2 linked regions of the Oreochromis niloticus genome follow. The protein of the gene in region 1 interacts with the protein of each later gene in a pairwise test. Links are inferred from orthologs where the notes say so. Each region holds a gene or a part of one and is shown on either strand. Other genes may lie near its edges.

Region 1 (15,508 bases):
CTATGTTATAACAACAACTTCAGTCATCTATCGTCAAACTGATATAGAATAATATGTTGAAATAACAAACATCTAGAATTACATTTTACAGTGTGTCTATTATATAACTATATTTGGAATATATTTAAGTAAATGAAAAAAAAAAACTTTTGTCAATGTCCACTTATATATGGACCTAAATGTAGATTTGCATTATGGTATAGGTTTTCAATTCTATCCCTTTTTATTAAAATCCAGTTTAGTTTTTTTTAATGCAGTGTGGACTTGCTTATTAAAGTGTAGTTTTAGTTTTAATTTTCTATCACTGTTCACTTTTGCTTTTTTAATTATCATAATTATTGTAATTTAATTATTACATATTGTAAACATAGCAAATTTTGAGTGTTATCTTTCATTTTATTTTTATTTTAGTTAACTTTAGTAACCTATATTGTAAATAACTGTTTTGGCAGGGCGTTGCTGGAGTCTCATGGAGTATAAAGCTATTTAATGAAAACTGCTAAATGTCTCAAAATGGTCTGAAAAGCCGCCTCGTGTATGAGTATACTATAAAGCCGAGTGAATTTGTTGGGGGGGGGTTAAGGGTCAAAGTGTGGAAATAAGAAAAAGAAACGTATTTATAGTGGAATCTACCTACAGTGCAGTTTTTTCTGTGTCAGATTGGTGTTATTTTAGAGATTGAGATGTAGAATGTGTATAAAACTGTCTGAATGAATAGTCACTTAAATGACCTTTCTTCTCCAAGTTATTCAGCTTTTCTTAAGTATTATCAGTAATGTTTCTTAAAAAATTTAAATTGAATAAGAAACACACTGAATCTTTTTTGTGTGACTTATTGATTAATTTGCTCCTGTAGGAGGAAGATGAGGCTAGTTTTTCACAGGATTAACTGAGGAAGCAGCAGAGTCCTTCTGGAAAAACCTGAAGCGCTTTTTTTCCTTTTTCAGGCACAGTTTCTGTAGATCTTTTTTCTATGCTATTAGCAGTGTTGGTCAAGTTACTTGAAAAAAGTAATCAGTTACTAATTACTGATTACTTCCCCCCAAAAGTAATCCCGTTACTTTACTGATTACTTATTTTCAAAAGTAATTAATTACTTAGTTACTTAGTTACTTAGTTACTTTTTAAAAACACGATTTACAACCTGAATAGGTGATAAAGCGATAGATCTTTCAGCCCAATTCTACTTTTTCTGCATAATCCATCATACAAAATGTAATCAAATGGAAACGTCTCTTTTTAAAACTTTAAACTTTAAATCTTTTAACTTTATGCATCAAGCAAAAACTTAATTATATGCAACATTCTCTGACTGGAAGAAATTTGTTTAACATTTAAACCTATTTTCGGCACATTCCAGCACATAAAATAAAATATTTTTTTGTGTTTACACTCACTCTTTCAAATAGATGAAAGTAAAACACAGCAGAAAATAAATAAAATCAAAGACTAGCGGTCCTGTTGCTCTATTTTCACCTGTAAAGCAGGACTGGGGTAGGCGGAGGTTTAACCTGGTGCAGGTGTGCCGCAGCGGTCAGTGGAAGAATCCGCGAGTTTCTCTGTGAATTTCACATTACGTCGTAGTACACTCGGTGCTTGCTTGGAAGTTTAGGGGTTTTTTCGCTGTAAAAAGAAGTTTTCTTCCCACGCACAACAGACACTAATGTTTTTGTCACTTTTTATGGAATCAAACTCAAAATAAGGTCAGTACTTCCACGCTTTAAATGCTGCATGCTCAAACTCTCTCCCGCACTGTCCATTGTTGATCTGTACACAGCTGTTGTCACGAACGTCGCACTCGCTTACGTCACTGTCATGAGACGTTCTAGCAAAAAAATCACGGTTTTAGTAACGCAGTAACGCAGCGTTCCTACGTGAAAGTAACGGTAATCTAATTACCGTTTTTGCAATGGTAATCCCTTACATTACTCGTTACTTGAAAAAAGTAATCAGATTACAGTGCCCATCTCTGGCTATTAGGTTTATGATCTATCTGAAGAAACTTTGTGCTGCACTTCAAGTCTACACCTTTTGGCCAGTTCTTCTCATTAGTCTTGCTTGTCTTCTTGCTTTTTTTGCAGTTCTTCATATTTCTGTTATATTTCTTCATAAGTCACCATCAAGTGCGGGATCTACCAAGGAGATGCGCTGTCCCCACTACTGTTCTGCAAAGGCCTGAACCCCCTCAGTGATATCATTGAAAAGACTACCTACAGATACCGACTATGGAATGGAGCAGTCGTCAGCCACCTTCTCCACATGGATGACATCAAACTGTATGCCAAGAGTGTGTATGCCAAGAGTGAATGAGACATCGATTTACTGATCCACACCACCAGGATCTACAGCAGTGACATCGAAATGTCTTTTCGGATTGGAGAAGTGTAGTTGGATGGTACCAAAGAGAGGGAAAAACTGAGGGGATTGAACTACCAGAAGGCAACATTGCAGACATTAAGGACAGCTACAAGTACCTGGGAATCCCACAAGCAAATGGGAACAATGAGGAGCCCGCTAGGAAAGCTGCAACCACCAAGTACCTGCAGAGGGTCAGGCAAGTCCTGAGGAGTCCCGGGCTATCAACACCTACGCCCTGCCCATGACCAGGTACCCTGCTGGGTTAATAAACTGGTCAAAGGAGGAAACAGAAACCACTGAAATCAAGACAAGGAAGCTCCAGACCACGCATGGACGGTTTCATCCCAGCACCCTGAGGCTGTATGGTAATCAAACGGAAGGAGGCCGTGGACCAGTGAGTGTCAGTACCACAGTCCAGGATGAGACAACAAACATCCATGTATACATCAGGAAGATGGCCCCAACAGACCGTGTGATCAGTGAATACCTCAGGAGGCAGAAATCCAAGAAAGAGGAGGAAGAGGGGGAACCATCATGGAAGGACAGGCCCCTGCACGGTATGTACCACCGGCAGACAGTGGAAGTGGCTGACATCCAGAAATCCTACCTACTGGCTGGACAGAGCTGGGCTGAGAGACAGCACAGAGGCACTAATCATAGCAGCACAGGAACAAGCTCTGAGCACAAGATCCATAGAGGCTGGGGTCTATCACACCAGGCAAGACCCCAGGTGCAGGCTTTGTAAAGATGCCCCTGAGACAATCCAGCACGCAACAGCAGGGTGCAAGATGCTAGCAGGCAGGGTATACATGGAACGCCATAACCAAGTGGCCGGCATAGAATACAGAAACATCTGTGCCAAGTATGGCTTTGAAGTCCCGAGGTCAAAATGGGAAACGCTCCCTAGGGTGATCGAGAATGACCGACCTAAGATCCTGTGGGACTTCCAGATACAGACGCACAAAATGGTGGTGGCTATCCAACCGGACATAGTAGTGGTGGACAAGCAGAGGAAGATGGCTGTAGTGATAGACATAGCAATACCGAATGACAGCAACATCAGGAAGAATGAACACGAGAAGCTGCAGAAGTACCAAAGGCAAATAACAAAATACAGCCAGGATTAGTTAACATTTTTGGTGCTATTTAGAGAACAAATGTACATAACCAGCACTTTTTTACATCACAGCAATGACCTTGTGTTTACAGAGCAATTTGCACTTTTGTGTAATTGTGTGTTTTGAGTCTTCACACCAGAACTGTGTCATGAATTTACTTCTTCATCGTCTTTCTGCTGTTTTACTTGTGTAAGCCTAGTGTGTGAGCACATTTGTGACATCAAGGCACCAACACTGAAGCTGTTCTTACTGTAACCTGTACCGTTTCCAACAAAGTAGTCTGGAAAATATAGAATTACAAGACAACGTTACTTTTAGTAGTTCACGCAACTAATGAGTCATTAAACTCAGAAGGAGGTCTATAGACAAGTTATTGTGCACATGCCACAAGGACAAGCAGTGTATACTCTTTCACCTGTGGTAAAATGCAAAGCATCAACCTTCATATTTTTACCCCACTCCACTGTTTGAGCCAAAACAAAACATGCTGAAGTCAAAATTAGTCATCTCTGGTCAAAATTTGTTACAAAGGAGAAACATAGGGAAGTGAAGAGTTCAAGATATGTCACAAGTGTTAAATTGGAAAACTATCAGGAAGTAAACTGCGGTGATTAGGAAAAAGAGGAAATAATGAAATGAGGAATTGATTCATGAGAAAATATTGCGTAATTTCGTTTGAGCTGTCCAGTCAGTCATGAACTGCCATCTTTTCGGGAACTACAGAAACTAAAAAAAATTTCAGCAGTGGAAAAGAGAAAAGGAAGGAGGAAATGTTCACATCAGAGAAGCTGTAACTACAGAACATGAAAACATGTTTCTTGCACTTCTATATGGACTGTACCTAATCTGCAGATCTAACTGTTAATTGTCTATTCATTAATCTATCTGTAATTTGGTGTGTAATTGTAGTACACATGTTGTGGAAACATAAATCTGTCTACACTGTCACTGCTGACTAAAATTACTTATTTGTTACTAAAAATAATTCCCCACAACATAAACTGTTATATTTATAATAAGGTTAGTGTAATGTTGTTCAGTGTATATCTTCAGAAATCAGTTAAATTCAATATGTCACCATGTTTACAAGTTAGTCTGCTGGTGATGAATCCCAGGCTCCCTTCTCAGGAAATTCTGACTAATTTTGGGTGAAAAAATAACAACAGTCATGTTATGAAAAGCTTTGATTACAGTCAAAGTCAGTTAAGTCATAGAGGCTGACTCTTATCTAGACTGGCTGATTTGATGTGACTGAAACCCGGCCTAGGATGACCAGTGATTTGAATTCTACAAATGTTACCACACTGAAAAGATTTCCATACCCTCTAAGTTATTAAAAAGTGAAAACAGGATAATAAAATTAAATCTAAAACATAAAATGATTGTATTTGTTAGATTTTTATTTTCTTTTACTTTTGATTGGTTATGCTACAGGGTCTGTGTTCAAAGTATCCAAAACCATGCAGAGCTGCAGGGTCACTGTTTTCGGACTTTGTTTAGATATGAAAGCTCTGGCTCACAGTAAGTTCAAGAAGTCTGTGCTCTCGTGTCTGCCTGGATTCCAGAGTGTTTACACTTTACATGTTCTATACTTTCTGTCACTTCCACTTAATTCTGTCATCATCACTCTGATTCCATTATCTTCTTGCCCACCTTCAGCAAGCCAATTAGTCTCTCTTCCTTATTATTTATTTATTTATTTATTATGTGAACTTAGTGCTAGTCTGTCATTCTGCCATTCTGGCTCTACTCCCCCCCACCACCACCACCACCGCCACCACCAAATACCGAATTTGCCACAATGTCAAAGAATTGCTAAACCTATGGCTGACACATTTATGGCATTGAATACTTTAAAAATCCTAAGCAAAGAATTCAACAGAAGAATCCAATACAAATCAATCAAAGCCAAACTAAAAAGAAGCGAATGTGACAAATTAAAATGTCAAACAGAAACAAACTGAGTTTTTCAGTGCATGAAAGCCTACTTAGTGGCTGATTACTTAATAAAAAGACACAAACACGTGGCATTACAGTAGTTATAGACTTCCGATACTTCTGATTTACCAACTAATTGAATAATATGTCTTAGTGTCTTAGTGACTCAGTCTGTTCTGTATTTTTTTCCACTTTCCACAGAAAAGGTTATTTGCTGCATTAAGTGACTTCATCCTCACTCATACATCATGCCGGTGTTACAAGATACAGCATCCAGAGCAGTATGAAGTTAAGGAATGTTTCTTCATGGTTCAAAGGTTGCTCAGCAGAGGATGATTTAAAGATCTGTGTGAAATGGCACGATGGACGATTGGTCAAAATTAGCCAATGAAAATGTGATATTAACTTTTTATAAAGAAGGAAAACACATTTAGTCTTTTGATTTAAATATATATACATATATATATATATATATGGTGGCTAACCAACCGGACATAGTGGTGGTAGACAAACAGAAGAAGACGGCTGTAGTGATCGATGTAGCGGTTCCGAATGACAGCAATATCAGGAAGAAGGAACACGAGAAGCTGGAGAAATACCAAGGGCTCAGAGAAGAGCTCGAGAGGATGTGGAGGGTGAAGGTAACGGTGGTCCCCGTGGTAATCGGAGCACTAGGTGCGGTGACTCCCAAGCTAGGCGAGTGGCTCCAGCAGATCCCGGGAACAACATCGGAGATCTCTGTCCAGAAGAGCGCAGTCCTGGGAACAGCTAAGATACTGCGCAGGACCCTCAAGCTCCCAGGCCTCTGGTAGAGGACCCGAGCTTGAAGGATAAACCGCCCGCAGGGGCGTGCTGGGTGTTTTGTTTTTTTTTTTATTAAAATTAATTAAAAATAAAAGCTAATTATGCAAGCTTCTAGCTTTGATTGAGGTTGTTTAGAACAAACCTGATGACACGAACTCTTAGAAAACTTATAAATAAACCACCAGACTTTGAGGGCTGTGAGTAAAAAAACAACTCCGAATGAGGCCAAAAACAGATGGAAACCTGTGCAGTTATTAAATTAAACACAACAGTCTTTACTCTCTGTGTTTTACTTTATAAATTGAGTTACTGTGAGCAACACGCATGTATAATTTTGTTGAGGTACGCTGTGTATCACGATTACAGCCTGCTGTCTTTAGCAGTCTCAATATTTTTCTTGCCTGGGTTGGATTTGGATTTCTTCAAAAGATGTGCTCATCACCATTACTGACAGTCTGTTATAATAAGTCGTTTTGGTTGGAATTGCAGGGCTTGTCTGCCTCATTTGTTTCACAGAGCAGCATTAAAAAGATGTGGCGATAGTCAAATTGGCCAGCAGATGTCACTGTGGAGATTGGTTCAGATTGTTTCGAAGCCTCGATACAATTCCTGCACAAACGGTTCAAACTTGTCGCCTCGCTTTGCCCATTATTATTTTCATCAGTTCTTTGGTAAGTAAGAAACAGACAAAACATTAAATGTAAGAAACTGAGGTGTTTGCACCATTAAATAACAATACAATTACTGGCAGTTTTTCACATTTTACCATATTAACTGTTTTTGACTTTGTTCTTTTGACCCACAGTTGAAATAAATTTTATTTTAATAATCAGATTTTTACTTTGAAGCTGAGCTAATGAGCTGCCACTGCTTGTTCTGTTTTTTTATGACATGTGGTCTAATAAATTAGTTAAAAACTGTACATATTGTAATGAAGCACACTGTATTAGATATATTTGTTTATTTTTTATCATCTTTTTTTTCTCTTTGTAGGTCTGGTGACTTTTTGGGGGAGACGGGCAACTTGAACAGTCGTTCCAATAAAGTTTGTTTGAACTGCTATTAAATAGACATTTATCTCCATCTGCTGGTAGGACTGAGTAAATGTACTGTAGAGAAAGGTATAGCCACTTTTAACACATTTGACCATATAACAGCCCAGAATTAAATCACAACAATCACACAGAATTAAGTCAGAATTCAAAAATGTGTTTTAATCATTACCAGTTAATAAAAATATACAAAAGTAGCTGCTGCACAACAAAGTTTCTGTATTGAGAACCAACTTATAGATATTCTGAGTCAAATCTCCAGTTATTTTTCTGTGAAAATACTGAATGTAAACTCATGTAAACACTGGCAAAATACTGTGAGATGAATCCAGCAGGGTTTCAGGATGGCAGGAAGGGATTTGTTACATTTCACAGGCAACACTTTCTATCTGGCTTTTTCCTTAATTTCCTGAACTGCTCTCTTCCGTTTCAGGTTGGTGTAGAGCAATGCAAAGTTGACAATATACGTGGAGACACAGACCATGCAGAAGTCTCCCAGAACAAATGCGAGAATAGATGCAAGATAGAGTGAACCGGCCACAGAAACCCAGGAGGAGAAGACCAAAAAAGCTGCTGCTTTTTTAGACACAGACAGTCCTGTAAAGAAAAAAGTCAAATAGAGAGGATATCAGGACCTCAGTCAAACATAGTACATTATTGGGAAATTTCACACAGTCTCACGTCCAGAGTGGAGTAAATGTATTGCTCCATATACATATTATGCAATCCTCAAATACCTGAAATACTTGTGCTTGCCATGGATCACAAACACATTGGATTGCAAATGATATTCTAAATAAAAAGCTCTCAGCATTGCACTGTAATTTACAGAAGGCAATCAGAGACTAACCAAGGCCCATCTGCAGAGTGTAAAATATGATGCCAAGAACACTGTTGGGCTGGTTTAGAGGACTATCTTTGGCCACAAAGTACTGGACCAAACCAAAACCACGTCCCCATCTGCCAGAAAGAAAGAAGTAACAGTCAGAGCAGCAATTTCTTCAAAATAAAATGAACAATTTTTTTATTTTTTTATTTTTTTATTCCTATGAAATATAATCAGCCTTACAGAGATATGCAATGTGATATAACCATTTAAATGTACACAGAAAGTATCTATGGCCAAAATGCTTACTTTCAGTAACTTCATTACATGTAAATGTTCTATCAAATTTTGTTACATAAGTACAATGTTAAATGTTAGATTTAAGCAAATGAAATTTACTTGAATGGTATACAGAGTTTATAATCAACATATTTTCCTTAATGATTATTTAATTTAATAAATAAACCGTTGATATTATACATTACCGCTGCATTTTACTCAAAATCACTGCTTCATGTTTATGAGGGCAAAGAATCATTTCTTAAGTGTAGAACATCAAGCGTGTAATAAAGATTGATTCTCTTAAAAATGACAAGAAATGTCAAAATAAACGTATATACCTTGTATTCTCACAATGTGAAACAGGAAGCTACTTGATGTAAAGTATTTTCAGATAAATTAAGAACACGTGGCAATTCAGTGTAGGTTAGAAAGGCTAGAAAAAAATATGTTAAAGTATCAGCTGGAAGACAAGGTTAGGATCAGATATGGATCAGTGGTCACCTGAAAACAGATCCAGGTAAGCTGATTCTGCACAAAAAGCGCAGTTATGAGGAAAAACGAAAGGCAGGAGTCATATCATACCTTGAGGTAAAAACTCTGGAGCAGCTTACAGACTCCCCCAGGTCGCACAGCGCTCTGTAATCTGGGTTTCTCTCCCGGGATACCTCGACGTGAAGGGCATAAATAGACAAAACCAAACCGAAAAGGCACAAAAACATGCGTACCTTTCGCTCCCATTTGGGGAACCCCTGAATGGCACCCATGTGGACACTAAAAGATGAATTTATTGCACCAATGTGTTGAAACTGCACGGTCCAGTCTGGTTTTCTTTCAAACGTCACCGTCCTCCTAGTCAAGACGACGTGTTCGTGCTCAGATTGTCGCTTTTGATTGGTCTGTGCGAGTTTTGCGACTGCTTTTCATTGGACGGTGGAGTCCAGATGTTGGCAGATGGGTGTTTGCACTGTATTTTTCTGTGGACTTCAGTCTGTTTGGGCTTTGGGGAATGTTAATAACCGCCCTTGCTGTTCATCTCACGCCACTGGAAGATTCCACTGCTAAACTACTATACCTGAAGGAGTTTGTTTGTTTGTTTGTTTTTACTTAACCAAAAGTGTCTGAATTTTTTCTTAACATATCCACTCGGAAATGCGTCATTAAAATTGAGCTCAACTAGAGGTAACGACTGCTTAATCCTTTAAATAAAGTAACACAACGTGCTTAGTAAGCTGTGAATTATACTATGAGGATAGTTTGGAAGATTTTAATAATATAATTTTCTATGATTAGTAGTTAGTATATTCTCCAGCTTTAGCATTTGTTATCTGACTGATCAGATAATCGCAGGCTTCGGGCTTAGTTGGATATATATTATTATTATATTATATATAAAGTTAGTGTAAAGCACCAACAGGAGCAGGTATCTTTCCCTAAATCTGACTCCTCCTAAAGTAATTGAACTGTGGGGAAAACAGAAAGAACAGAAACAGAAAAAAAAAAACCCCACAAAGATAAATAAATTGAAAAAGCGGAGACTGTCCAGCAATGTGCCGCCTCCCAACGCGTCCTCTGTTCCCATTGGACAAACTACTTGACGTCAGCGCATGTGGTTGGTCCGCATCATGGCACTCAAACCCTACGCGGAACTATACGAGGAAGCGGCAGACAAAAACAAAAGATGGTCGCGCTACTACGGGGTTAAAACATCAATGCTGGTGTTGTGGGTGACTCACAAGGTGAGCGCACATTCCTTTAACAGAAAACACGTGTCAGTGTTTTTCCGTTTTGTTATATAATCGACAAAAATGCCGTTTAACGATTTCTGTGTCTAGAGTGCTCCAGCTTCAGGTAACGTTATTAGCCTACGCCCCTGCGAGTAGTCCTTGTCGTGCGGTTAGTTTATAACTATGTAGTACACAAATTAGTGTGTTCTTACAGACAGCCTCTGCTGGGTTTGGCCTTTAGCTACTCGCATGAAGACTCCAGCTTTATTGTGGAGACGTTAGTAGAGAGCTACAGGTTTGGTTTTGGCCACTTTCACTGCCAGGCCTAGCGGGTGTGGAGTTACTAATCACACCTAGTTTGAGCCCTAGCAGGTCACTCTCACACAGTTTATCAGCGTTTAAAAGTGTGTTTTTATTTGTCAGAAGCAGTAGTTTCTTTTTATTTAAGTTTTTCTCCTAAATCTCAATTGAGCAAAACTTTCGCATGTGGTGGTTCAGTCTCTGTTATTCCTCAGTACCCACATTAACGGAGGCACTCCTGGGATGGCTTCCATGCGCCCAAGTGTTAACAGAAAAGCTTTTATATGGGCATAATTTGAGTTTTCAGTAAAACTGATTTTAATAGTGACAGAAATGCTGCCGCTGGATGGCACTGGTCTTATGGAGTACATAGTGTTGCTGCTACAGATTCCAGCATAACACATGTGGGTCAAACATAAGGCCCGGGGGCTAGAATCGGCCTAGCAGAGACTTTAATCGAAAATGTTAAGGAGAGCATAAATTTTGTATGTTTACATTTATTTTAATAAATGTTACAGCTTTTTCTTGTTGACTCTCCCATGACCACTCATACTAGCCCCAAAATAATTAAGTAATAAATAATAAATAAATTGAAATAAAAGTTTGTTCTTTCAATATCAGCTATAGAAAGCTCTGTTTTACAACAGTGACATTTTCTGTGAAGTAATAGAAACTTTCTTGTTTAGAAATACAGGACAGTCTAGACCAGGGGTCTCAAACTCGTGGCCCGGGGGCCACATCACCCCTACTTGTATTTTGACGTGAAGAAATATAATGCAATTTGGCCCTTGAAGTTACTTTTTTTGTTAGGAAGGATTTGTGTGTTGTCGAGTGGAATGTTAAAAATAAGTTCTTCAAAAAGCAAAAAAATATTTAATATGAAGAAAATATGAGTGCAGGGAGGGATTGGCTGTGTTAGTTCGGTGAGAGTTATTTGTAAAGAAAACAATTTTCACTAGCAGTCACACTTGGTACACTTAGTAGTAGGGCTGTGCGATATGACCAAAATCTCATATCCCGATATAAGACATCTATCGTCCCGATAACAACATACATCACAAAAATGTAACATTTTCTGTAAATTCTGTGAATCTCGGGCAGCTCGACTTGCGTGAAGTGTTTCCAGCTGGGGGTCGTGTACCTGGAGTCGAGTGTTTTAACCGATGCATTAAACGATACATTTTTAGACATAAGTTGTAACGGCCGCCGTTTTCTTTGTGAGTATTTGTTACACATTGTGCTGCGGGGAAAAGCCTGTTCTAACATTTGAGTCCAGGTTTATTTTTTAGCACCTGACGGCTCTTTTTTGCTTCTCATCCGTAAATACTCTGCATACTCTTTCACATGATTCAGTTTATTTTGAAAAGTCTCAACAGGATCTTGAGCTTTATTGTGAAAGGTTTATGTGGAAAATAAACAAGCGGACATGCGATGGTTTTACCGTCGTTGTTGCTAACGACAACGCATAAAAACGGGCGCTTGTCCGTCAGTAATGTGGTTATATTAAATATAAGAGAAAGAGAGAACTTTAAGAAATTAATATAGCCACTACAGTGACCATCAAAACGATAAAAAAATATTGCCGTAAATAGTTTATTTTGCAACACCACGAAACAAACGATAGCGTAAAATGAAACGATAGATGTTTTTATATCGTCATCCGATATATATCGTTATATCGAACAGCCCTACTTGGTAGTTCAGTAAAAGGCTTCAGTTAGTTACGAGTGAGAAAAAATACAATATTTGACATTGTTATACAATATTTGAAATGAAAAAAAAAACAGACAAAACACTACATTTTCTGAAATATTTGTGGGTGCTTTCTTGTTTTTGCTGGTTTGTTATTTTGTACTACTTGAACACTAAATTGGTACTACAGTACCAGATAGATAGATAGATAGATATTTTACTGATCCACCAATTGTGTTAAAGTCGGATAAAGAATACAAATAGTACAGTCAACAATAGAAAAAAAACAAAGTTAAAGTGCCACCAGCGCATATTGAGGGTCTCAAGTGATAAAAAGAAAAGTAAAAATGAAGCTAGTTAAAAAACTGTAAATGTAAGACTGACATTGTATAAGAGACTAGCGCAGATTGCATTAATACATGATATGTAGTTGATGTCATTACTCACTAAAATTACACACTATAAGACTTTAAATCCCAGAAACATTAAGCTAATGTGTGGCTCTTGACTCAGGTCAGAGGATCAAGAGCCTTCTATTTTGCCTCTTTGTTTCATTGTAACGGCCCAAATAATGGTTGATGTTTGCAGGGAAACAAAAATAAGATAAGATAAGATAAGATAAGACTTTATTGATCCCACGACGGGGAAATTTTTGCGTTACCTCAGCTCAGGTACAGATATCAGAAGGAAAATACAAATAAAATACAAACAAATAAAAAATAAGTAAGATAATACACTATATACACTATACACTATATAGCATACACAGTATGTGATTATGGATATGGTTGTGGAAATATGCAAGACATAAACTATATAGCTTAACATAACTATTGTACCACTACTATTCCTATGTATAGACATGTACACACACACATGTACACACTAAATATAAATATGTATACATATACATACATATATACCTGCACACGTCCATACACATAGAAGGTCCATTAAGCATGAAGTGGTGACTGTGGATGTCCACTGTGTCCAGTGACTTATGACATCGTGATTGAGGAGTTACAGAGTCTAACTGCTGTTGGGATGAATGATCTGCGAAATCGCTCCTTCCTGTAGTGAGGGTGTTTCAGTCTCTGACTAAAGGAGCACATATATACATATATACACCACAGTTATTCATTTTTCAATCACAAGCAGCAAATAAGAGCAGTGAATAAATCATATTTGAGAAAATATAGAAGGTTTACATGGCCTGAATTCACAATACACGGATAGTAGAAATGCTGATTTAATTCTAGCTGTTTTATAAAGCTGTAGTCTAATATAATCCCAAGTGGCGCAGTTAAGAACTTTCCAATTCCTCCAACTTTTCTGTTTTTGATTCTTTACAGAAAAATGTCACTTAAGGAGGGCGGAGAGAGTAAAAATGGTCAACCTGTGGCATCCCCTGAAAAAATGGCCACAGACAAAAGCAGAGAAAACCAGAACCCACGGGGAGTCGAGGTACCGGGCAGCAACGCGGACACCAGCACGGCAGCTAAAAACTTGGCTTTGCTTAAAGCACACTCTTTAGATGTGAAGTTTGATGTCGGAGAGGAGTACGACATCATAGAAACCATTGGCACTGGGGCCTATGGTGTTGTTTCCTCTGCCAGGAGGAGGGACAATGGTAATGCTGATTTAGTTTAAAATATATATGTAATTAATTCTGTCTTTAGTACAATGCAGAATAAATGATCAAATGTGGCTCTCCCTTAATTCTGTTCTGCATTTACACTTTGCAGGCCAGCAGGTGGCAATAAAGAAGATATCCAATGCATTTGAAGTGGTGACAAATGCCAAACGCACACTGAGAGAACTGAAGATTCTTAAACACTTCAAACATGACAACATTATCGCTATCAAAGACATCCTGCAGCCAAACCTCCCTCATTCTGCCTTCAAGTCTGTGTGCGTACTTTTCTTTTTTCTAACTTTGGCAAATAACACGTCCACAGATAGATCTGTAGATTTTTAATAAATACAAGAGCTGGAAACATAGTCATCAAATTGGATGTTGTTCTGTTATGCCCAGCCTTCTTCCTGCAGGGAGGAATTCTGGAGTTTTTTCAAAGAGATTATAATCAGAGCTGAGGAATGCATGTCATGCATCCCCTTTACTGTACAAGGGCATGCTTACTGTCCTGCTCCTGCCCCCAACAAAAGGGCCACCTGATCTAGAAAAATACAAATAAAAAATGAAAAAAAAACATGCACAATGTTTTTTGTACATTTAAATAAAACTAAAACAGTTTATAAAATGGCAAAAAACAGTCATTTTTCTGTCCACGTGTAATTATTTGACCAGTTATGTGTAAATCAAAATTGTTGACCTGACATCTTTGTGCACACAACATTTTAATGATTCTTGTTTAGAAGACTAATAAGATTTAGTAAATTTATTTGAAGTCTGTTTCATTGGGTAAGAATGACGTGCCACTGTGCATCATTACTAGTCTCCCGTCTCCCCTGGGCAACAGTGTATAAATAAAAAGTATTTTAATATATTTTGCCAAGTGGGCATGTTTTTCATCTTACTTTTGCTTTTCCTGTGTGTGCAGGTATGTGGTGCTGGATCTCATGGAGAGTGACCTGCACCAGATTATCCATTCTGCCCAGACGCTGACCCCAGAGCACACGCGCTACTTTCTGTACCAGCTCCTTCGTGGCCTTAAGTATGTGCACTCTGCCAACGTCATCCACCGTGACCTCAAACCTTCCAACTTGCTGGTGAACGAAAACTGTGAGCTAAAAATCGGTGACTTCGGCATGGCAAGGGGTCTCAGTTCACACCCTGAGGAGTCTCATTCCTTCATGACTGAATATGTGGCGACTCGATGGTACCGTGCTCCTGAACTCCTGCTGTCTCTGAATCACTATAGCTTGGCCATTGACTTGTGGTCCGTGGGCTGCATCTTTGCTGAGATGTTGGGCCGTAAGCAGCTGTTTCCTGGAAAGCACTATGTACACCAGCTCCAGCTTATTTTGAATGTGTTAGGCACTCCTCCCGAGGGTCTAATTGGTGCTATTAGGGCTGACAGGGTCCGCGCATATGTTCAGAGTCTTCCATCACGATCTCCCATACCTTTGGCCAAACTATATCCACAAGCTGAACCAGAAGCTTTAGACCTGCTGGCGGCCATGCTGCGCTTTGACCCTCGCCAGCGAATAAGCGTGACAGAAGCTCTGGAGCATTCTTACCTGGCTAAATACCATGACCCAGATGACGAGCCAATTTGCGTGCCAGCTTTTGACTTTGAGTTTGATAAGCTTCAGATGAACAAGGAACAAATTAAAGAGGCAATTCTTATAGAGATCCAGGACTTTCACAGAAACAAACAAAGCTCTCGTCAGAGGCTGCAGTTCAGGCCTTTGGTGAGGGTGAAAGGTGGAGCTGCAGCACAAAGCAGTAAC
Region 2 (15,833 bases), on another chromosome or scaffold:
AGTTCTGCAGAACTCTTTTCAGAATTCTGCTGAAAAGATGTTTTTGCTGAAAATAGCTGAAAAAGCTGGGATTTGTGCTGAAAAGTGGTGAAAAAACTGAAAATTGTGCTGAAAAGGGGTGAAAAAGCTGAAATTGAGTTAAAAAAGTTTAACTGTTAACTGAAAGAAATGTTGCCATAAGAGGGATTTGAACAAAGCCTCCCAGTCTGAGAACGGATGCTCATCTCACTGAGCTAAAACACAGGTCATCCCGGCAAGGAAAATCAGTGACGCCACTGATGATATGGCAGAAATGGGCAAAAAATATTGCAAAAACAATTCAATATCTCAAAAAGTATAGAAGTTATGAGCACCAAAAGTCATAGCAGGCGAAAATGCTGTGTGGATGCCTGAACGCTGAAGCTGTCTGCTGAAAAGCTGCAAAAGATGAAAAGTTGCAAAAAGTTATACGGTGGTGAAAAAGAAAATGTTGCCATGAGCAGGATTCGAACCTGGCCCTCCTAGTCTCAAGGAAGCTAGTCATCTCACTGACCCAAAGTCACTCTCAAAAAGAAGAGGTGGAGAGATGGACAATTCTGCTAAAATGAGCAGAAGCTGCTGAGAATTGTGCTGATAAGAGGAGAAAAGGCTGAAAATTTTGCAGAAAAGAGGTGAATCAGCAGAATTTCTGCTGAAAAGAGGTTTCTGCTGAAATCACCTGAAAAAGATGGGATTTGTGCTGAAAAGGGGTGAAAAAACTCACAATTCTGCTGAAGAATGGGGTGAAGAATGAGCAGTATTTCTGCAGAAAAGACGGAAAGAAGCAGAACACTGTGCTGAAAAGAGGTGAATGAGCAGAATTTCTGCTGAAAAGAGGGTTTTTGTTCTGAAAACAGCAGAAAAACTGAAAATTTTGCTGAAAGGGGGTGAAGATGCTCACATTTGTGTTGAAAACAGTTAAAAAAAAAGTTTAACTGTGAACTGAATAAATTGTTGCCATAAGTGGGATTTGAACCCGGGCCTCCCAGTCTTAGAACGGCTGCTCATCTCACTGAGCTAAAACACAGCTCAGCCTGGCGAGCAGAAATAAGTGACCACATTGATAATGTGTTCCATTCATTTCAATGGGCAAAAATATTGCAAAAAATATTCAATATCTCAAAAAGTATAGAAGTTATGAGCACCAAAAGTCATAGCACACATTAGCAGAAAAAGCAGAATTTTTTAGAGTTTGAACGGAGAAAATCGGCTGAAAACTGAGGGAGTAGTTAATCGGCAAAGAACGGAGCAACTAGGAGAATAAAGATAAAGAATAAAGAGAAACAGGAAAACAATAGTGTGGATGCCTTGAGGCATCCACACAATTAATCAGTTTGTGTTGGCTGTTTTCTTAGGAGAGGCAGACAGAGGTGCAGGAGCAAATGGGCCGGCCTGCACTGAAGTTAATTCAAGAGGTGGATACACATTGGAACAGCACATTCCAAGTGCTTCAACGTGTTCATGAACTCAGGGAACCTATTGGAGCATCGTTAGCTGGCCTGCACACTGATATTTGCCCACTATCCTCTGAACTGTATGAGCTTATGGCAGAATGTCTCAAAATGCTCTCCCCATTTAATGATGCCACCACTGAGCTGTCAGAGGAAAAGCGAGTGCCTGGATCCAAAGTAATTCCACTTCTAACAATGTTGCACCATGCACTAAATGAAGAGGAAATGGGAGTTGTCCTAACTCCAGAGAGCTCCACCATGGTTGAGTGTCTAAGGAGACAATTAAAGGAGAAGCTCTACACATTGCAGTCAATGAGCATCATGTCACTGGCAACATTGCTGGATCCAAGGTTAAAAAAAAAAAAGTCTTCTTTAGCTCAAATAAAGCACTGGATGGTGAGAAGAGACTTATTTTTGAATGTGCTGCTATTTTGCGGCACTTGGCTCCCTCATCAGCAGCAGCTTCATCATCAAAAGCTTCTCAGCCTGTGACTCAAGGTATATGAGCACATTTTGATTATTATATTGTATTTAGTTACTTACATTCTGTTTGTTTTAGGTAGCAAACTGTGGCATCGTTTGGACACCACTGTTATGGAGACAAAGACCCCAAATGCTACTGCTGATGCAACAGCTGAAGTGCAGAAATACCTCCATGAACCAAACATCGGCAGACTGGAGAATCCGCTGGAGTACTGGGTTGGACACAGATTTGTTTATCCAAACTTGTATAAACTTGCTGTGGTTTTTCTTGCAACCCCTGCTTCATCTGTGCCCCGTGAAAGGGTATTTTCAAAAGCAGGAGAAATCCTCTCAAAAAAGAGGAACCGTCTTAAGCCCAGCACTGTGGAAAAGCTGCCATTTTTGAATAAAAACAAATGAGAACTTCTCCCTAGTGTCATAAGCACTGTTATAAAGTCACAAGCACATTCACATCACAACTCCCTCCCTTTTTGTTTCCATGTACATTCCTGTGTTAAGCTGCCAATGTATTATACACAAACATTAATATATTAAATATAACTAATATTTATAGTTTAGTTATTGGTGTCATGAACAACAGTAACTTCTTTATTCAACTTGAAGCACCACACACTAGTTTGTGTCATTATCCAGATGTACACAAGCATGATTACAAAATCATCCCACAAACTGTCCTGATAGTTTCCACTTTCTCTTTTGTATCAGACATACTGAGACAATATTCAGGATAAATAACCATAAAAACAATTTATTCAGTTTAGCGGTTTACAAATCACATTATAATCACTCAACCTGTTTCAGTTGAATCGTCCACTTGATGGTGCAGTAGAGCAAATGAATCATGACAATGCTTCGAACCATGAGTCAACTACTTAGATGGAAAGCTTCAGTTCATCACGAGGCTTCATCTCCCCATCACTACTACAAAGTGTACTTCAATATTGACAAACCGCTCTGATGTCATGATGCAGCAGCAAAAAACCCCACCCACCCAAGGCTCCTCCTTTTCCTCCTACTCTTTCAAAGTAAAAGCAGCTGAATATTAAAAAGAGAAGTCCAGCCTGCATGCGGTGTGTCAGGGAGGACAGCCTGTTTCAGCCACTCCGATAAATAACACACTGTGTTGAATTAAGAACTTTATTGACAAACATAAAAATATGATACAAACACAGAAGACAGACGAACATGAGGCGGCGGAGATTCACTTCTGGAAGGTTGAGTGTAGATGAGTTCTGAAGGCTGAAAGAAAAAAGAAAAACAAACAACCTCCATCAGTCCTGCTGCACGCAGCTGTTAACGTGTTTGAACACAGCGCGGTGTTTACGTGGTCTCACCTTCCTGGTTGTCCCACAGTTCGGCCGCCACAGCGTTAAGAGGACTGTCGTTGTTAGGCTCTGAGGAGGAAGCAGAGTGACAGTGAGGTCATAGGTCAGAGTGCAGAGCTTGGACAGTGCTGGGGTGATGACGCATTTACCTCCCAGGAGGCTCTGGATGGACAGCAGGATGGAGCGAACGTCGTAGAGTGCCGACCATTTGTCCTTCAGGATGTCGAGGCAGATGAAGCCGTGCTCGTCTACATTGGGGTGGAAACATGGCGTGACAAACTTTACGCGTGGGGCCTGGTACGGGTAACCGGCAGGAAACTCCAGAGAGAGGCGGTACCTGAGGCCCTCGTACACCTGAACAGGTAAGAGAGCAGAGTTTAACTTTCTGCTGAGAGTAGAGAAACCCAAATGATCCGTGTGTACATACCGTCCCCTGAGCGCCATCGATGGTTCCAACCCACTTAAACAGATTATCTGACTCTGGGAACGCCGAGATCCCCTTATCACCTGACATCTGCACCAGAGAGAGAGAGACTGGTCACATGACTTCAGGACACATGGGGGTGTCAGATGACCTCAGGTGTTACAGGTTAGAACAGAACACTGATGAGGATGAAGACTGGACTCACCATGAGCGTCATCAGCTCCTGCTGCAGCCTGCAGACACACAAACAGGAAGCTCAGAATCTGCTGTACATGCTCAGTTCAGTGTTTCACTGTTGGCTCAGACTAAGGAGGAGCCTGCCTCCTTTGTTGTTCAGGTGTTTCCTCCTGAACTCACCTCAGCGCTTCATGAAACTGCAGCTCAGACAGGTGCTGTGCAGAGAGGATCAGGTAAACCTGCCCACCTGTCTGACTCAGACTGAGGCAATTATGATACTACGTTTGCCTGTCACTCCACACCTGTAGGAGCTGGCCCCCACCCATCACCTGCTGAACAGCGTCACTTTTAGCCCTTTCACACAGGTATCTACTCAGCTCGACTCTAGTAGTTTTCGGTTTCTGGGGTTGTTGGTTTCCCCCGTTGCCGGGTTTTAAATATGGTGGCTTTGATTTTCGTGAATGACACGCCTTCATGACTCATCATTCGACGCTACTGACTAGCCAATGGGTGGCATCCAGTCCGTTGATGTCACATTTTAGGATAGCACATACTACAAAACAAAAAACAAAAACCTGTTCTGACAAACCATCCTACTTTGGCAAAACGTCCTACCGTAAGTAGTTTATGGACATTTCTGCTGTCATAGAGTAATTCCAGCACAAATTTAAGTAGGTATGATGGTTTGCCACTTAACTTTGCCCATCAGAGTATGCTTGTAGCTCATATTCATAAAGCCAGGACGGTTAGCCACTTAATTTTACCCGTTAAAGTATGCTTGTAGGTCACATTCACAAAGGTAGCATGGTTTGGCACTTCATTTTAGCCGTCAGAGTATTTTTCTAGCTCTTATTAACAAAGGTAGGATGATTTGCCACTAAATTTTAGCTGTTAAAGTATGCTTGTAGGTCACATTCACAAAGGTAGGATGATATCTTTACCCGTCAGAGTATATTTCTAGCTAATATTCATAAAGGGTAGGACGGTTCGCCACTTAATTTCGTGTTGTGCGCATGCGCAGAAACAATGGGTAGGATGGTTTGTCAGGTCGGATGGATTCCCAGAACACCTGTACTAGTGGGACAGGGCCACTGGTCTAATAGAACGGCGGCACAGCACATTGAAACCAAACCATTGTTTAAACTTTATTAGTAAGGCTGCTGGTAATCAACCGTGAACAGGAAGTGTACCTGCTAACACCTGTACGACACGTAGAGTCAGAAATTGGCACTGAGAGCTGACACAAACACCCAATATGAAAACACACAGTAGGAAAAGTCTCTCTCCCTCTCTCACACACACACACACACACACACACACACACACACACACACACACACACACACACACACCCACCGTTTGGACACAGAGCCTCTGGCCGCGCTGCCGCCGCTCTCGCTGCCTTTCAGAGCGGCGGCGCTGGAAGCTGCAGCCGCTGCGGGGTCCATGTTCTGGGAGGCCATGTGCGTTACCGTCCGGTTCTGCTGAATCAGACAAACTGAGGTTAGAAGGCCCGGGTTCCTCTGCGGATCACCTCCCGTGTTTCTCTCTCTAAGCTAACAGCAGCTAAACGCTGGCACCGGATACAGCTCCGAGGACTCTTCTCCAGCTGTATCCGCCTCTCAGGCCACCGTTCGGGTGTTTTACTCAGACCTCGCTCCAGTAACAGACGAGGCTCACCTTCACTGTGACGACTTCGTGCTAACGGTGCTAACTGTTAGCTCTACCGGTCGGCTAAGCGTTAGCTCTGTGGCTAGCCTGTTTATTACCCAGGGGAGACTATAAACAAACAAAAACTTTTCCCAGTACGGACTCACCGGTTGTCGGTCGGGGTTTGTCGGTCAGAGTATCGCTACTGTCTGTTGGATTCAAACGGAACATGCTCCCGCCCCCCGATTTAAACCGACTGTTTCTTACACAGTCGGCCAATCAGCGCCCGACCTTTAAAAACAAACCAGCTTTGGCTGGCCAATGACAGGCCTGCCAAGTAAAAGGAGGTGCGTTGTGATTAGGCAGCGTGAACGACGAAATGATCCAAACGTCATTTAATTCTGACGTCATAACAGAGCCCAACAAGTCAGAAATCGGTTTTAGTAAACAAATAAAATTACATAAATATACATTTGTGTATTCACTTACCTGTCATAATAAATATGCCTGTAAATAAACGTTTTACCTTCTGTGTATGATTACAGCTCTGTTTCAGAATAACTTATTATTATATTAGTGAAAGGTGACTATCAGATGATGTCATGGGGAGGCGCTGAGAGCACAGATCCACAGTGAGAATGATGTAATAGTTCAGTTAAACTTTGGTGGGAACCACTCGGAGAGTTTCCACCAGGAAATGAAATGCTGTCAGCTCGCAGGTGATACAGCTGTCTTCATTAAAGATGAGTTCAAAACAAAGATGATAAACTGCATTAATGCTTTCTCTGGAGTATCAGGTCTGACTTTAAACATGAAAATGTGTCCTGTTCCTGTCGGAGAGGCTCGTGTCCATAAAGAAGGTTTTCCTGTCAAAGAACAGATGACTTATTTGGGAACTAACATCTGTCGAGATCAATCTGAGAGGGTCATTTCTAATTTTCAGCATATAAATCCAAAAATGAAAAACAGATTTGATCTGTGGCTCATGAGCCATCGTTCACTGATCCTTTTATCTTAAACAGGGATTGTCTCACTCAGTGCATCCTGCAAAAGTAAAAATGTTCCTAAATCATTCGTAAAACAGTCGATGCTGCACTTTATTCTTTTGTGTGGGAAAACAGAAATAAATCAATATTATATGAGAAATAGAAAAATAATATTAATGATGTGTCCCAGCTAGTGAAGGAAAAAGGTAATTTTCTTCCATATCCTGTGTTGTGAGGACCTGTGATGTTCCCATATCTGTGAGCGAACACAGTACAGTGTTTCATGATGACACAAATGGACCAAATATACAGACAGCACTGAATAAAGATGTTCTCAGAGATGCCATTAATATACTGGATAAAACATATATGATTCATTGTCCTATAACTCCTCACTGTGAGTTTTACTGGAACAGTAACTTTATGAATATTAATGAGTCATTGATATGGACTTACAATAAGAAGTATTTAATCACCAACAACGTCGAATAACAAACCAATTTATTAAAACTATAGAAATGATCTGGATGAATCTTGTACTGTAAAACTGTAAAACAGTCAGTGAAACAATTCTACATCTTTTTGAATGATGTATTTCATTTTTTAACACATACACTACATTTAATGTTTTCTTTTTATTTTCATTGTCTGTGAAGGTTCTCAGTCATCCAGGTCATAGTCTAAGGAGCTTGGAAAGAAAGCAGCAAGAAGGACACATATACAAACAAACAGTACACAAGACACAGAACAGAAACATACACAATTTTTACATATTTACATCAACGACAATGGTTACCAAAAACAGAGTACTGTACCGTTATTAAATTAAATAAAATGAAATACAGATAAGAGGCAAACCCTGGTTATAGTGTAAATCGGCTGATAAAATAGTGCAAGTTACAGCGCTGATGTAAACCTCTATGTTTGTTGGGAGCAGTTTTGGTTGTACAGTCTGACAGCTGCAGGGAGGAGGGACCTGCGGAAACACTCCTTCATGCATCGAGGATGCAGCAGTCTGTCAGTGAAGGAGCTCTGCAGTTCAGCAGCATTTACATGCATGGGGTGGGAGACTCTGTGCATCAGAGATGTTATTTTGGCCAGAGTCCTTCTGTCTCCCACCACCTGCACTGAGTCCAGGGTGCATCCCAGAACAGAGTTGGCCTTCCTGATGAGTTTATCCAACCTCTTCCTCTCAGCTGCCGATAAACTGTTGCTCCAACATACAACACTGTAAAAAATGACAGATGCCACCACAGAGTCATAGAAGGTCTTTAAAAGAAGCGCTCCTTGGACTCCCCTGTGGGGCCCCCGTACTGCTGACCAGCGTGTCAGAGACACAGACCTGTGACCTCACATACTGTGGACGTTCTGTGAGGTAGTCCAGTATCCACTGGGACATGTGGTGGTCCACTCCCGAAAGCTCCAGCTTGTCCCTCAGAAGTCGTGGCTGGATGGTGTTGAAAGCACTGGAGAAATCAAAGAACATGATCCTCACAGTGCTTCCAGGCTTCTCCAGGTGAGTCAGAGCTCGGTGAGGGAGGTAGATGATGGCGTCCTCCACCCCGATGCCAGGCTGGTAAGCAAACTGCAGTGGATCCAATGAAGACCTCACCAGGGGGCGCAGATGGTTCAGAACCAACCTCTCGAGGGCCTTCATCAGATGCGATGTCAGGGCTACCGGCCTGTAGCTGCTGAGGTCCTTGGGATGGGAGGTCTTTGGTACCGGTACCACACAAGATGTCTTCCACAGCTGTGGTACTTTCCCCAGTGACAGATTCAGGTTGAACAGATATCCTAGGATGCCACACAGTTCATCTGCGCAGCACCTCAGGAGCCTGGAGCTGATGCCATCTGGACCTGCAGCCTTCCGCACCTTGATCTTGCGAAGCTCGTTCCTCACTTGAAGTGCTGAGATAGAAAGAGTGGATTTTGGGGAGGGGGTGTATGTTGGAGTCCACAGAAGCCGGGGGTGGGTGTAATGACTGGGAGCTGGGAGGTGTGAAGCTGAGAGGTGTGAAGCTCTGAGATGAAGGACAGGCAGTCCCTGAAGATGAGGGAGATTGCAGCAGGGGGGACGATGCTGGGGGAGGGGTGGGTGGTTGATCAAACCTATTAAAATATTTATTTAGGTCAGCGGTCCCCAACCCCCGGGCCTCGGACCGGTACCGGGCCACGAGAGTTGAGGCTCAGGTGTGAAATGTATGGTTTTCAGGGTTTTTATCGGTTTTCAGCGTTATTCTGTTATCGTTTTTATTGTTAACTCGGTTTTCCTGGGTCTTTTCATGTGTGTTATGAATAAATCTTTTTTTCGGTACCGGTACTAGTTTTATTTTGTTGTATTTATCCGTGACACCTTAAAGGCCGGTCCGTGAAAATATTGTCGGGCATAAACCGGTCCGTGGCGCAAAAAAGGTTGGGGACCGCTGATTTAGGTCATTCACCCACCCCAAGTCTCCTGCAGCCTGGGGGGTTGGTTTTTGTCCTGAGATTGTCTTCAGGCTGTTCCAAACCCCTCTGATGTTGTCCTGTTGCAGCTGCTCTTCCATCTTCCTCCTGTAGTTTTCCTTTCCTTGCCTTATCTTCCATTTCAGCTTCTTCTGGACAACTCTCAGCTCCTGTTTGTCTCCAGATCTAAAGACTCTCTTCTTCTCCTTGAGGAGAGCCTTAATTTCAGGATTTATCCATGGCTTGTTTTTTGAAAAACACTGTACCTTTATGATGGGTACGGTGTTGTCCACACAGAAGTTCATGTAATCCGTAATGCAGTCTGTGATGCTGTTGAGGTCATCCTCCAGGGGGCTGCAGAGGTTGTCCCACACAGTAGAACGGAAACAGTCCCTCAGGGCCTCTTCAGTCTCTGCCGACCATTTCCTTACTGTGCGTTTCACAACTGGTTCTCTTTGTACTAGAGGTTTATACGCAGGCTGGAGATGAACCAGGTTGTGATCTGAGCCCCCCAGGGGAGGGAGAGGTGATGAGTTGTATGCCTCCTTGGTGTTGGCATACAATAAGTCCAATGTTTTATTGTCTCTGGTATGGCAGGTAACATACTGGATGAAGGTGGGGAGAGTGGAGGACAGGGAGATGTGATTAAAGTCCCCACAGATCAGGAAAAGGGCCTGAGGGTGCTGTGTTTGGAGTCTGCTGGTTACAGTGTGCAGGACCTCACAGGCTGCTCTTGAATACTGTTAGCTGTTCAATGGGCAGAAGACATGAAACCGTTAAAAGCAGTTATTTGTTCAGACTCAGGCTCGTCATTGGTCAGTTTACAGAGTAGCTGCTCAGAAAGCAGAGCACATGTCCTAGCAGAGATTCAGCAACACTTCACAGAATACACATGACGAGACTTACAGGTGTGTTTTTATGGATTCCAGCTCACTGTGAAGTCAGAGCAAATGAAATGGCAGATAGAGCTGCAAAGGAAGCCACAAAACATGGGGTAGTTGACCTGGGTATTAGCTTCTGTCAGACAGAGGTAAAGAGTATGGTAAGGCAAGAAACAAAAAAAAGATGGCAAAAACAGTGGGAGGAGGAAAAGAGGGGACGGTGGTTGGATAAAATCCAAAGGAGGGTAGGAGAAATGAGGAGCACAGAAAGGAGTAGGAAAGAGGAGGTGGCCATATCGAGAATAAGATTAGAACATACTGGTTTGAACACTACACTAGTCATGATAGGGAAACATAATACAGGGAATTGTGACGACTGTGGAGAAGAGGAAACGATAGAACATGTTATATTAGACTGTCAGAAGTATCAGGTGGAGAGAAGACAACTGACCCAAAACCTCAGCAATATGAAAATGAAACTAGTTCTTATTGATTTTCTGCAAAAGGACTCGAGAAGTGAAAGTTATCAGGCCTTATCCCAGTTTTTAAAAGAGAGTAAATTGCTTGGGAGCATTTGAGGGGTTTGGGGGGTTTTTTGAGCGACGTTCCAGTCCCCACTCCACACCAGTTGGAGGCGGTAATGCACCATTCAGTTGTTTGCCAACCGCCAATAAACCCTATACAGAAGAAGAAGAAGAAGAAGCAGCCGCAGCAGCAGTGAACAGGTAAGATGAACGCGCCTCCCGCTTTCGAGTCGTTCCTGCTGTTCGAAGGGGAGAAAAAGATCAGCATCAGCAAGGACACCAAAGTCCCGAACGCCTGCCTGTTCACCCTGAACAAGGAGGACCACACGCTGGGCAACATCATCCGAGCGTAAGGCCCCGAGACACGGCCGCAAAGGCATCACACCGCTACATCCAGGCTAACAACAGGCTAACCTCAGGCTAACAACAGCCCGCTAAAGTCATCCGAGCGTAAGGGTCCCAGACCCGGCTTCACAGCTGGCTAAGTTGAGGCTAACAGCCACACAAATGCTGAGCAGCGGCTCAGAGATAGATGCTAACACGCAGCCTGCAGGTGTTTCAATCTTACAGGTAGCGTAGGAGGTGTTTTACAGAAAACCAGAACATAGTCTTGGAATATTTGATCTCTACTTGCTTTTTGTTTTTTAATAAATCATGACATGCTGCTGATGGGAAACAGGTCTTAGTGTAAGCCACCACAGGTGGCTGTCCCAGTGCCTGATCATAAAATCAGCAAAGTTAATGAACTGATCCTCAAATATTCTTCCGTCAGACTGTCATGTGAGCTGCACACACACCATTCACACTAAACTGCTCATCCTTACAGTCTGTCCACCAATCAAATGACTTTCTCTGTGTGTGTGTGTGGTCAGTCAGCTGCTGAAGGACCCTCAGGTTCTGTTTGCTGGTTATAAAGTTCCTCATCCTCTGGAGCACAAGATCGTCATCAGAGTGCAGACCACACCTGACTACAGCCCACAGGTAACACGCACACACCTGTGGGATATTCCAGGAAGTATGTTCATCAGACTCTGAGTTTCCTGTTCCAGAAGGGTGATCAGTTAGTTCATTCAGCTCTGAGTGTGTTCCCACTGAGTTATGTGCATGCGTACCTATTACAGACGTCTCAGCTTCTACAGGATCAGGATATTTCAGGATAGTTTTGGAAGAATGACACATTTTAAATCAGGAATAGAGATCAGAGCAGAGCTGCAAACGGATCCAGACGGGATCAGCTGGGAAATGACCGAGCAGACCTGGATCTGGGATTGAGCCGATCTGAATCCGTGATCGAAAATCCATTTTGGATCCGTCCTGCCGTGCAAGTGGACTCGGTTTGCTGATCCGTCATGGAGCCCATGTTCTGGCTGATCTGGTTCTGGGTCGACCCGCAGAGGCTGATTCAGGTGATGTTCAGTGGAAAATCTGCCCAGGCTGTTTGACTTTAAATGACCGAACCTCAATCTGATTACATTTCAATGTGAAATGTAATCAGATTACAATCAGACTGTCTGCAGTGACTTTAAACACATTTAGTTCAGCTTTAGTTTTAAAGCCATCTCAGCCTGAACGTCACTCAAATAAGATCCATTTATCCATCAGAGTGATTGATTATAATAAGAGTGTTACCATGGTAACTGACCTTCTGGAACAGAAAACCCAAGTTTCCCTCATCTCAGGGTTAAACTAAACCTGTTTCCTGGAACACACTTCTGATTACAGCTCTTAGTTACAGGAAGTGAAATTAAATGACAGGAAATGATGTTGTTCCTGACAGGAAGCGTTCACGAACGCTATCACTGACCTGATCAGCGAGCTGTCACTGCTGGAGGAACGCTTCAGAGTCGCCATCAAAGACAAACAGGAAGGCATAGAGTGACCCCGCCCCATCGTGATGTCACTTCCAGTTACCTGTCCTCTGTTTGTCTTCTGTTTTTTTTAAATAAAGCCTGTGATGCCATATCCTGATGAGTGTGTGTGACATACCTGTAGCTCAGGCGGTGGCTGCTTGCAGCTGATTGAAGTTTAAAGTGCTGGTCAACATTTTCCTGTGTTTGTTTTAACAGATCATTAGACAGAACTTAGCACAAATTATTTGTTTGCAAACAATAATAGAGAGAAGAAATACTCTGATCATTATCACCCTTACAAAAACAGCTTTTTCTTCATCTACATCACAAACCTGCTGTGCAGTGACCTGATTACCTCAAAGCTTAAAGCTCCGGTTCAGTTTTTTTCATATATAAGTATATTTAGTTAGGAAAATGAAGAAAGGTTAATTGTATTTCGGTAAGTGCAAGTACTGTGTTGTTTTCTTTTTATTAATAAAAATATTTGCCAAAAAAAAAAAGCTCCTGTTCATACTGAGTTTACCAGTTTATAATTTATATTTGCGTTCCAGTTATGAAAATGATTCATTAAATATGTTTTCATAGAAAAAGTCCAACTCTTCCCACTTGGGTTTTATTTATTTACTTTTTAGGTCAATTGTATTTATACTTTATGTCCAAATGAAAAAATAACTATAAAATGAAACGTGAGGTTGTGCTGAAAAGAATGAGAGCAAGGCAAGGAAAAACAGTCAAAGTGAAATCAAAGTAGTCAAAGACTGGCAGTTATAGATGCGACGCAGAGGGTTAAGGATATAATCCGCCCACTGTTATCGTCTTCAATGCCCTGTACCAACACAGAGCAGAGCAGCTACCTGAACGCTACGCCAACAGAGGTCGATCATCTGGTTAATAATTTTACCTCCTCACTACGTACGACTCTGGATACTGTAGCTCCGGTGAAAACTAAGGCCTCAAATCAGATGTACCTGACTCCATGGTATAATTCTCAAACACGTAGCCTAAAGCAGATAACTTGTAAGCTGGAGAGGAAATGGCGTGTCACAAATTTAGAAGATTCAGTTTTGTTTATGTAGCACCAAATCACAACAACAGTCACCTCAAGCCGATATTGTAGAGACCCTGCAGAGAAAAACCCAACAATCATATGACCCCCTATGAGCAAGCACTTTGGCGACAGTGGGAAGGAAAAACTCCCTTTTAACAGGAAGAAACCTCCGGCAGAACCAGGCTCAGGGAGGGGCGGGGCCATCTGCTGTGATTGGTTGGGGTGAGAGAAGGAAGACAGGATAGAGACATGCTGTGGAAGAGAGACAGAGATTAATAATAACTATTAAATGCAAAGTGTCTGTTAGCATTTTAGCTCCTGAAATGTTCTCAGGTGTTCTCAGGTTAGTTCGAGGAGGGTTTTTGGCTCACTGGTGCAGTTATGGCGCAGTCGTTGTGTGGAAACTTTCAGACCTGAATGAGAGTCCTGATTTGTTCTTGAGGTTCCTTAGTAAGTCCAACTGATTAAGAGGAGGGATCAACCTGCAGACACAAATTTCACAAATAACAAGTGTGATTCAGCAGAGAGGTCTATTAACACATAGTGAGTGAAGAAGAAACACCCAGTTCATCATGGGAATCCCCCCAGCAGCCTTCGAGGGAGGATTCAGGGTCACCCGATCCAGACCTAACTATATGCTTTAGCAAAAAAATAAACAATTTCTCTGCAGATGATCAGTTTTCCACTTCCTGTTCCTTCTGGGGTCCGTTCTTCGTACCTCGCTAAGTAAGTTAGCCGGATTTGATTGTTGACGATTTCGCGTGATCTTGGATCGTTCGGTTCTCCGAAGCTCATCTGGGACTTGCTGTCATAGCAACAGATCCGTAAGCGTAAACCTGCTCGGGAGCAGGCTTACTTTATGTAAACAGGATTAGATCGCGGCCACTCAGGTATGTCCGCTTCATTTATACGAAAGCAACAGCGATATTTCTCCACTGTTTTACCATAAATAAATATTATCAATGTAACTAAAGATAATGCAGTATTTGATTCTTTTATTGATTTCATACAGATACATACAGGTCATTTCCTTAAAAAAGGGAAATGTTACTATTAATCATTCTATTTCATGTATTTGATTATTTCAGATGTAATCCATATTTTAGAGTAGTAATAGTAAATTACTTCGTGTAATCAAGATGAGAGACCACGGCTATAAAAGCGATAAATAATTAAAAAAAAGATTATATATATATATATGTATATATATATATATATATTTCAGTGAACGGAGGACGTGCCAGTGGCCCTGGGACCTCAGGTGGTGGGTCGTTTTCACACTTTCCTTTGTACAGCACCGGGGGGGTGTAGTGATTTTCTTTTTGTGTGATTTTCTTTTGGGTCCGCGGCTGCTGTTAAGTCCAAGTTCCATGATTGTTTTATTGTACTTTTAGGACACTGTCAACAACGACGCTACATTTTGCTTTCTAATATTTTATTTAATTTAACTACAAATAAAACTATATTAATATTGGAGCCAACCTGCCTCGGTGTGCATCCTTGAATCTGTGCGGCCTCTTTTAAGAAAAATAGATAAAAGGAATAAATGTATATTTCTGTTGCGATTGTGGGGTGATTGTGGCTCAAGAGTTGGGAGTTCGCCTTGTAATCGGAAGGTTGTAGGTTCGAGCCTCGGCTCGGACAGTCTCGGTCGTTGTGTCCTTGGGCAAGACACTTCACCTGTTGCCTACTGGTGGTGGTCAGAGGGCCCGGTGGCGCCAGTGTCCGGCAGCCTCGCCTCTGTCAGTGCGCCCCAGGGTGGCTGTGGCTACAACGTAGCTTGCCATCACCAGTGTGTGAATGGGTGAATGACTGGATATGTAAAGCGCTTTGGGGTCCTTAGGGACTAGAAAAGCGCTATATAAATACAGGCCATTTACCATTTCCTGGGGGTGAAATTCCCCTGGTGGTGTTGTCATTTTACTATTTCTTTTATAACCCCGCCGACCACTTGGTCACACTTGCATTCTTTAAATCTTTGCCTGTGTTCAGGAAAGAAGTCTGCTCTTGGGTGTATTTTATTATTTATATTTATTTTATTGTATGTGTTATCGAGTAAACCAACTCTATAGCTGTTTCATCAAATAGGTGTTAGGGATATATAGAGACACACACACACACACACACACACACACACCAACCAGGGTGCTTTTAACCACTATATAGCTTCCTTCCTTCTCTTTAATTTTTTTTTTTCTACAGCAAATTTTTATTGAGTTTGAAAATAATATCAAGACTTCTCTTTTCCTTCCTCGTTTATAAGAACTACTGTTTATGGTCAGACAGCCAAAGCTCTTCGTTGTTCTTTAGCAGACTGGTGTGTTTCTCTAAGCTCACTGCCTGGACCCCTCGTAACTTAGCTGTTTTACAACCAGTCTGTCAAGAGTTTTGAGTTCAAAAGACGGTTGGAGACTAGCCTATCCGGTTGTTCAGTGATGACGTGACGAATCCTACTTCCGGGCCTAAAGTAGTCTGCGTTTAATATGGCTTTTGTGTTGTTAACATGTTTAATGTTTTGTATTTTCTTCTATTTAATCTCAAAAAGGTCCTAAAACAGTCAGTGATCACTGT

What was found.
Region 2: the proteins of mapk7 (region 1) and ube2c interact in binary tests that used the Homo sapiens proteins (3 or more experiments, as listed by UniProt). The two-hybrid records come from large-scale screens. The link is inferred for Oreochromis niloticus from reciprocal best matches to the Homo sapiens genes MAPK7 and UBE2C.

What each region holds. Positions count from the first base shown.
Region 1 is NC_031973.2:17,613,572-17,629,079, forward strand, and holds the start of mapk7 (mitogen-activated protein kinase 7), read left to right. Parts: upstream 1-9,396; 5' UTR 9,397-9,557; intron 9,558-9,982; exon of another isoform or gene 9,983-10,114; intron 10,115-13,446; 5' UTR 13,447-13,450; coding exon 13,451-13,724; intron 13,725-13,839; coding exon 13,840-14,005; intron 14,006-14,655; coding exon 14,656-15,508. Other genes in the region: vkorc1 (vitamin K epoxide reductase complex subunit 1), read right to left, coding at 7,656-7,867, 8,121-8,230, 8,961-9,142. UniProt on the Homo sapiens protein: Plays a role in various cellular processes such as proliferation, differentiation and cell survival. The upstream activator of MAPK7 is the MAPK kinase MAP2K5.
Region 2 is NC_031970.2:1,167,256-1,183,088, forward strand, and holds ube2c (ubiquitin-conjugating enzyme E2 C), read right to left. Parts: upstream 5,848-15,833; 5' UTR 5,696-5,847; intron 5,363-5,695; exon of another isoform or gene 5,360-5,362; 5' UTR 5,342-5,359; coding exon 5,235-5,341; intron 3,935-5,234; coding exon 3,907-3,934; intron 3,792-3,906; coding exon 3,705-3,791; intron 3,632-3,704; coding exon 3,427-3,631; intron 3,347-3,426; coding exon 3,287-3,346; intron 3,192-3,286; coding exon 3,154-3,191; 3' UTR 3,076-3,153; downstream 1-3,075. Other genes in the region: polr2j (DNA-directed RNA polymerase II subunit RPB11-a), read left to right, coding at 10,571-10,713, 11,237-11,345, 12,142-12,243. UniProt on the Homo sapiens protein: Accepts ubiquitin from the E1 complex and catalyzes its covalent attachment to other proteins. In vitro catalyzes 'Lys-11'- and 'Lys-48'-linked polyubiquitination.